2 linked regions of the Coturnix japonica genome follow. The protein of the gene in region 1 purifies or fractionates together with the protein of each later gene. This does not show direct contact. Links are inferred from orthologs where the notes say so. Each region holds a gene or a part of one and is shown on either strand. Other genes may lie near its edges.

Region 1 (3,981 bases):
GACCGAGCCCCATAACGACTCCATAACAAGCCCATATCGAGCCCCATAAGGACCCCATAATGACCCCATAGTGACCCCATAAAAACCCCATACCGACCCTATAAAACCCCATAAAAACCCCATAGACCCATAAAGACCCCATAAAGACCCTATAAGGAGACTCATAATGAGACCCGTAACGAGCCCCATAAGGACCCCATAGCGAGCCCCATAGCGATACCCATACCGAGCTCCATAAGGGCCTCATACCTATCCCATAAGGACCCCATAGCGACCCCATAAGGACCCCATAAGACCCCATAATGACCCCATAAGAACCCCATAAGGACCCCATACCGACCCCATAACAACCCCATACCGAGCCCCATCAGCTCCATACCAATTCCCATACCGAGCCCATAATACGCCCCATACCGATCCCATACCGGCCCCATACTGAGCCCCATAAGGACCCCATACTGAGCCCCATAGGAGCCCCAGACCGACCCCATACGGACCCCCATAACGACCCCATAGCGAGCCCCATACCGAGCCACATACCGATCCCATAACGACCCAATACTGACCCCATAAGGACCCCATAATAAGCCCCATACCGATCCCATACCGATCCAATAAGGACCCCACACCGAGCCCTATAGCGAACCCATAGCGGCCCCATAGCGGCCCCATAGCGACCCCATAGCGGGCCCATAGCGAGCCCCATAGGGACCCCATAAGGACCCCATAAGGACCCCATAACCCCATAAGGACCCTATAAGCCCCATAAGGACCCTATACCGCCCCACTCTCCCCGCTCTCCCGTTTCTCACCCCTCAGCAGCTCGGTCCTGACGGTCCCCATCACATCGGCCACCCCCAGCTCCTGCCGCCCGCAGGTCCCGCCGTGGATCCGGAGCCAGGCGGGTTCGGCCAGCGCGGTGCAGAGCGCGGTGATGGACAGAGCCCCGGGCAGCGCCGACGCCAGGCTCCGCTCCGGTTGTTTGGGCAGCGCCCCCCCCCCGCCGCCTCCCGCCGTTCCCCGCCGCCTCCCCCTGCCGTGCAGCCCGGGCCCGGCCGGGTTGTACATGGCTGCGGCCCGAACAGCCGGCACCGCCTCAGGCCGCGGGCTCCGCTTCCGCTTCCGGCGAGCGCGGCGGTGACGTCACTAGGGCGGCAACATGGCGGCGCTTCCGCTTCCGGTGTGACGTCATTACGGTGCGACGCGATGAAGGAGGCGCTGGTGCTGCAGAGCCGCGTGGCGGCGCATCCCGAGGCGCGGTGCTGGTTCCTGGCGTGGAGCCCAAACGGGAACCTCATCGCGTCCTGCGGCGGGGACCGGGCCGTGAGAGTGTGGGGGCGGGACGGTACCGAGGGATAACGGGAACGAGGGGGATAACGGGGCGGAAGGAAGGGGCGGGGCCTCAAGGGTGGGGGCGGGGCTAAGAGAGGGCGCAGCCAATGGCTGACGAGTAGAGGCGGGGCTAAGGGAGGCCCCAGCCAATGGCTGATGAGTAGGGGCGGGGACAATGAATGGGGGCGGGGCTATGAGAGGGAGCGGCCAATGGGTGACGAGTAGGGGCGGGAACACGGTGAAAGGGGGCGGGGCTAAGAGGGTCGTGGGCGGGGCTTAAAGGAGGGGGCGGGGCTAAGAGAGGGCGCAGCCAATGGCTGACGAGTAGAGGCGGAGACATAGTGAATGTGGGCGGGGCCAGATGGTGGTGGGAGGGGCTTAAGGAAGGGGCGGGGCTAAGGGAGGGTGTGGCCAATAGGAGGCGGAGCCGAGAGGGTGGGGTAAAAAGGGCGGGGCCAGAGGAGCGTGGGAGGGGCTTAAAGGAGGGGGCGGGCTTAATGGCCCTAATACACGTGGGTGGGGTGGGGGCTGGGCTCCTATTGGGGTCCCCCATCCACCCCCCCCCTATTAGGGTCAGCTGGAGGCTTGCCGTGCTGTGCTGTCTGATGGCCACCAACGCACAGTGAGGAGAGTGGCCTGGTCGCCCTGTGGCTCCTATTTGGCCTCTGCCAGCTTCGACGCCACCACGTGCATCTGGAAGCGCTGCCAGGACGGCTTCGAGGTCAGACCCCCCCCACAGCCCCATAACACAGCCCCATAACCAGCCCATAACCCAGCCCATACCCAGCCCCACAACCACCCCATAACCAGCCCACCCCCACAACCAAGCCCACAACCCAGCCCACTAACCCAGCAACCCCCATAACCAGCCCCATAACCCAGCCCCATAACCCAGCCCCATAACCCAGCCCCATAACCCAGCCCCATAACCCAGCCCCATAACCCAGCCCCATAGTGGCGCCCTGCAGCTCCTTGTGCCCCCCACAGTGCGTCACCACATTGGAAGGACACGAAAACGAGGTGAAGTCGGTGGCCTGGGCGCCGTCGGGCAGCCTGCTGGCAACGTGCAGCCGGGACAAGAGCGTGTGGGTCTGGGAAGGTGAGGGGGGGAATGAGGGGACCCCAAGGGCATCGGCCCCACTGTGTCCCTGCTGTCCTCAATACTGCCCCTTCTGGCCCCATTGCTGCCCCTTCTGCCCCCTATACTGCCCCTTCTGGCCCCATTGTTGCCCCTTCTGCCCCCTATACTGCCCCTTCTGGCCCCATTGCTGCCCCTTCCATCCCCACTGTGTCCCTTCTGGCCCCATTGTTGCCCCTTCTGCCCCNCCCTTCTGCCCCCTATACTGCCCCTTCTGGCCCCATTGCTGCCCCTTCCATCCCCACTGTGTCCCTTCTGGCCCCATTGTTGCCCCTTCTGCCCCCTATACTGTCCCTTCTGGCCCCATTGCTGCCCCTTCTGCCCCCTATACTGTCCCTTCTGGCCCCATTGCTGCCCCTTCTGCCCCCTATACTGCCCCTTGTGGCCCCATTGCTGTCCCTTCTGCCCCCTATACTGCCCCTTCTGGCCCCATTGCTGCCCCTTCCATCCCCACTGTGTCCCTTCTGGCCCCATTGTTGCCCCTTCTGACCCCAATACTGTCCCTTCTGGCCCCATTCCCTCATGGAAGGTGTTTTTCCCCGCAGTGGATGAAGAGGAGGAATACGAGTGTGTCAGCGTCCTCAACTCTCACACTCAGGACGTCAAGCACGTGGTGTGGCATCCCAACCAGGAGGTGAGAGCCCAGCTCAAGGGCAGCGGGACCTGCGGGCATCACTGTGTGTGATGGGAAAGGATCTGAGCCACAGGGCCATAAGGAGTCAGTGCTCCCAAGAGATGGGGTTTGAATGGTCCTCTATGGGGGCAGGGCTTTGCAATCCCTGTGGGTTTGGGGTGTTGATCCCATTCCTGTCCCAGCTCCTGGCTTCAGCCAGCTACGACGACACGGTGAAGCTGTACCACGAGGAGGAGGACGACTGGGTTTGTTGTGCCACGTTGGAGGGTCACGAATCCACCGTGTGGAGCATCGCGTTCGATGGCAGCGGGCAGCGCCTGGCGTCCTGCAGCGACGACAAGACCGTGCGCATCTGGCAGTGCTACAAGCCGGGCAATGAGGAGGGTGAGCTCCTAACACAGCTCCTTGCTGGGACTTGGATCACTCAGTGCTGTGTTGGATCACTCAGTGCTGTGTTGGATCACTCAGTGCTGTGTGTTGGATCACTCAGTGTTGAATCACCAGTGCTGTACATTGGCCATCAACTCATGCTCGTGTTGGATCACTCATGCTGTTGTGTTGGTATCTATCTCAGTGCTGTGTTGTGATCCTATTCCAGGTGCCTGTGTGGTATCACTCATTTGCATGGCCCGTGTGTTGATATTCCACTCAGGTGCTGTGTTGATCCATTCAGTGCTGTGGTGTGTTGTATTCACTCAGTGCTGTGTTGGATCACTCAGTGCTGTGTGTTGGATCACTCAGTGCTGTGTTGGATCACTCAGTGCCTGTGTGTTGGAATCACTCAGCTGCTGTGCTTGGATCCTCAGTGCTGTGTGTTGATCCACTCAGTGCTGTGTGTTGGTTACAGCGTGCTCTCGGTGCTGTACTGATTGGATCA
Region 2 (3,936 bases), on another chromosome or scaffold:
GGCATGATCTGCACGTATGCACTGACTGAGGTTTTGTCCTGGGTTAGTTTATTTTACCTTATTCACCAGCCTTGATCAGCAGGAAAATACCATACAGGACGAGTGAGATATAAGCACAAGAATAATGACAAATCAGATTCCTTAGACTTCCTGAATAATATATAGAGATTTCAAGCCACAAAGTGTGAACTTAGTGCTGCTGTCCCAGCTGCAAGTTTCTTAACAGGTATCACAGAAGTGACAATGCCTTTGCTGGCAATTTGCAAGATAAAAACAATTATCTTCAATCCTTAATGTACACAGTACAGGAAAACGTATCAGCTTGTGTTTGATGCACCTTACCTGCTGCTCTGCAAAATAGCCCTTTATCAAGGAGCCCATGATCTGCTGTGGAGACTTAGTGGTGCTGATGTAAGGAATGATGAAACTGCCATGGGTTTTCTCTGCATAGCAGATCCAACCTGAAGAGAGAATAATTAGCAAATAGTTGCAATCAGTAACTATAACTATATAACTATATATAACTATATAACTATATATATATATATAGTTATATATATATATATATATACATATAAATAGCAAGCACCCCTTCACTCTGCCCACAACCTCAGGCTCACCACCCATTCATAACCATTTTCAGCCTCAGCACAAAAGGCAAAGAGGTGTAACAATTCCATTTATAGAGGCGAGTAGGTATTTCTACAGACCATTACCACTATTAACACCAAGCTCTCTTTGTGAAGAGTAATACTTTAAGCAAATTAATATGAACTTTTCTGACTAGCTTTTTGAGTTCTTGTATAGGTGTATTATTAGAATGGCATCTTATTTCTGTAACCAACTTTGTAATGTACCTGGACAGGCAGAAGCTAGCATTGGCAAAGCCTTTTTGTCTTCTGATTGCCTTCGGAAGCGTTTTACAAACTCCTTTTGGCTCTCCAGCAGGCTGAAGTTTCTTGAGAAAGTTGTATCAAATACATAGTGCACACCTAAGTGGTACAACATGCACATTAGAATTCACAAGGAAGATACAAGCAGCAAGCTACACATCATATTTACTGCTATCAATCTGTATTTGAGAGTGAACTGTTTTCTCTAGCACAGCAGGACAAGAGCAGAAGTCATAGGAGGAATGCGGATAATTTAAAGCTCCTTTCCTCCATTACTCCAGGTTTATTTTGTGACTGAAGTTTGTACTTCTTAATTCATATCACCTTTAGGTGCTCATAAAAGCTGTGCCTGATGGATAGCCCAGCAGTCCCCTCTGTCATGGGTAGGACGCAATGCAGCACTTGCCTTGACTCTTTAAGAATGCAGTCAACTTCTTTGCTGTTTCCAGAATGCTCATTTTACATTTTGCAGCCAGTGAAGCCCTGGATTGTGGTGAAACAGAAACCACCACCAGCTTCTGTTCATTGGGAGCTGCAGCCTTTAAAAATAATAACAGCAACAAAAGAAAGCTGATCAGACAGTACTAATACTCACATCTACTAACTCTGCAGCTGACCCGCCCCTGTCTCATCACTTACCTTGTTAAAAGCTAGAGTTTTGGAGAACTCCTCATGGCTCTGCTGAGTGATTAAAACACTCTCTGCTGATGTAATGCAGCCACTACAAGCTAAACAGTCATTCAGAGTAATTTTAGCCTTCTCCAGTTTCTGTGCTTCTCCATCCTGGGAAGAAACAGATAAGACTCAGTTTTGGTCACAACACAGAATTGAGTAGGGTGGCAGTTTCTCATCTTTACTATGTTTAGTAATAAGGATATTGTCCTCTTTACCCTCCTGGCTTATCAAGAGCAGACAAGGAAGAATAAAGGTGAGGAAAAAAGGATTTTGTAATATATTTTGCTGTTGTCATCAGCATTCCCAGATCCTGGTCCTTAAATAGCGGCACCTTATTTAAATACATAACTAACCATCAGCATTGTCTGGATATCTTACACAACAATAAAGAAAGGTCAGGCATACCTGAGTGATCTGAACATAGCTCCCATCAGCTTCAATTCTGATCTTAGCTGCTGCTTTCCCAGGCTTTTTTTCCACCTTTACAGGTTTGATACATTCCTAAAAGAGAAATAAGGCTCAGAAGTGAAGAGACAAGACTCGAACGGTCAAACCCAATAGAGCGAATGTCTATTACTCTGCTTTAAATGATGCCAGATCTACTGACTGTGTCTACATCCACCAAGGGAAAATGGTCCTTAGAACCTTACCCCTTTCTTACAGAACGAGCACCTTTTCAGCATCACACCAAAGCCAGAGGAGACTGTGTCCCTTCCGAATCACAGAGCTGCGTTAAAAGGAGCCTTGACAAGCACAGAGCCTTGATCCCCTCTTAGATCTCACAGACGATCTCGCATTCCCTCATTGCAAATTGGAACGGATGGAGGCGTGGTCACTACAGCCAGCGGGCGGCTATTGCCAATGGGGTTCCATGTCATGTCGGAAAGGCTCTGACAGGCTCAGCACAGCTGTTGCCTGATTTTTGTGCTGCTCTACCATGGAGCCCCAAGGGCTTTTTTAGCATTTTATGTCATTTTTACTGCCCTATCTGCACAGCTAGACTCGCACAGTGCTGTCTCCTCACCTCCCCCCCCCTACTCCCTGTTTCCCTTCCAGTATGGCTCTCCTAGGCCGGGCCCTGCGGTTCTTGCCCCCCTGGACACCCACCTGCGAGGGTCCGATGTAATCATCCAGGTCGGTCAGCTGCAGCACCCCGCTGAAGGGAGACGCCATGACAGCGCCGCCGCCGTCAAGCGCGGCAGCCAGCGGGAGGGGCAGGAGTTGCGACACTGTCGTAAAAGCCACACTGCTGTCGTGATATGGCGCCCTGTCGTGATATTCAGGATAGAGGCAAAATGACGTTCCGTTGGGTTTATTGATAGCCTTGCTTGATAGATCCTTATCATAAGACACACACATGACACAAAGGGATTAAAGCTTCCCTAGCCTGCTTTACTAAGCGCTGCCTGCAAGGGGCATGACATTACCATGCATTAAACACATCCCTTGCTGGTAATAGCAAGGTGCTGGTGTGGGGAGAAAGTGCTTTAAAAGCTGGGGGTCTTTAATGGGGTTTAGGGTCAGTCACATAAGAAATGGAGGTAGTTTATGAGCCTGGATCTCTAACTCTCCTGAGGCATTTTCCTCTCCTCTATTTTGTCTGCATGTAACATCACCATCTGTAGGTGGCTGTGTATGCATCCATGCATGTCTATCTATACACAGAGCAGAGAGGGAGGTCAGACTGCTTGGTTACATCGCAAGGTGTCGGCCTTACTGTAAGGGGAAGCTACTGAAATCACATCATGCTTTTTAGAAGGCAGCTGACTCATACAGGAGACCATTTTCCTGAAGCTCTAAAATACAAAGCTGCTTTGTACTCAAAGTAAGGAGTGCCTGACAATTATAGCTATTTTTTGCTGCACTTGAGTGCGTAATAGAGATGTCCAAGCGCTGACGGTACTCATGTCAGGGCAGGATGGAGTAAAAGCATTGCTGGATACCCACAGCACCTCACCCTTTCATTCCTGGTGCTGTAGAAGGTGTGTGCTTTGGGAGAACCTGTTCACACGAAAGACCTGGGAACTGAGAACGTGGCACAGCAGCTGACACAAGCAGCTGGATGCCAAATGCTCTGAACAGTGTGAGTTTCATGGTACAGACGGAACTAATGGCCAAAGATCCAATGTTGTAACAACCTGTTTTTTTCCTAAGCAGTCTTTCAAGGCTGGGCTGGGCTCCCAGGAGCACGTGTGAGTTCTGAGCCTCGCTGCTGAACTCTGCTTTTCCGACGTCAGTTAACTTAAAGCTGGTCATGCTTCTTAAACCTGGCTGCTCATGTGTCAGGAGGACCTCTGTACCCTGATGGGCAGCTAAACAGGATTAGGGTACTGTTAAACAATACTTCTGCTCCAGTGTAGCCAGTCAC

The links. The genes of interacting proteins can lie anywhere in the genome.
Region 2: the proteins of CIAO1 (region 1) and CIAO3 purify together in Homo sapiens (affinity purification with western blotting; 3 studies listed by BioGRID and IntAct, with this or other methods). This does not show direct contact. The link is inferred for Coturnix japonica from reciprocal best matches to the Homo sapiens genes CIAO1 and CIAO3.

Annotation. Positions count from the first base shown.
Region 1 is NC_029537.1:1,034,695-1,038,675, forward strand, and holds the start of CIAO1 (probable cytosolic iron-sulfur protein assembly protein CIAO1), read left to right. Parts: upstream 1-1,181; 5' UTR 1,182-1,206; coding exon 1,207-1,356; intron 1,357-1,903; coding exon 1,904-2,053; intron 2,054-2,319; coding exon 2,320-2,431; intron 2,432-3,015; coding exon 3,016-3,104; intron 3,105-3,286; coding exon 3,287-3,488; intron 3,489-3,981. Other genes in the region: TMEM127 (transmembrane protein 127), read right to left, coding at 813-1,068. UniProt on the Homo sapiens protein: Key component of the cytosolic iron-sulfur protein assembly (CIA) complex, a multiprotein complex that mediates the incorporation of iron-sulfur cluster into extramitochondrial Fe/S proteins.
Region 2 is NC_029529.1:5,995,824-5,999,759, reverse strand, and holds the start of CIAO3 (cytosolic iron-sulfur assembly component 3), read right to left. Parts: upstream 2,801-3,936; 5' UTR 2,742-2,800; coding exon 2,676-2,741; intron 2,354-2,675; exon of another isoform or gene 2,252-2,353; coding exon of another isoform or gene 2,219-2,251; intron 2,070-2,218; coding exon 1,974-2,069; intron 1,677-1,973; coding exon 1,533-1,676; intron 1,433-1,532; coding exon 1,300-1,432; intron 993-1,299; coding exon 858-992; intron 462-857; coding exon 343-461; intron 1-342.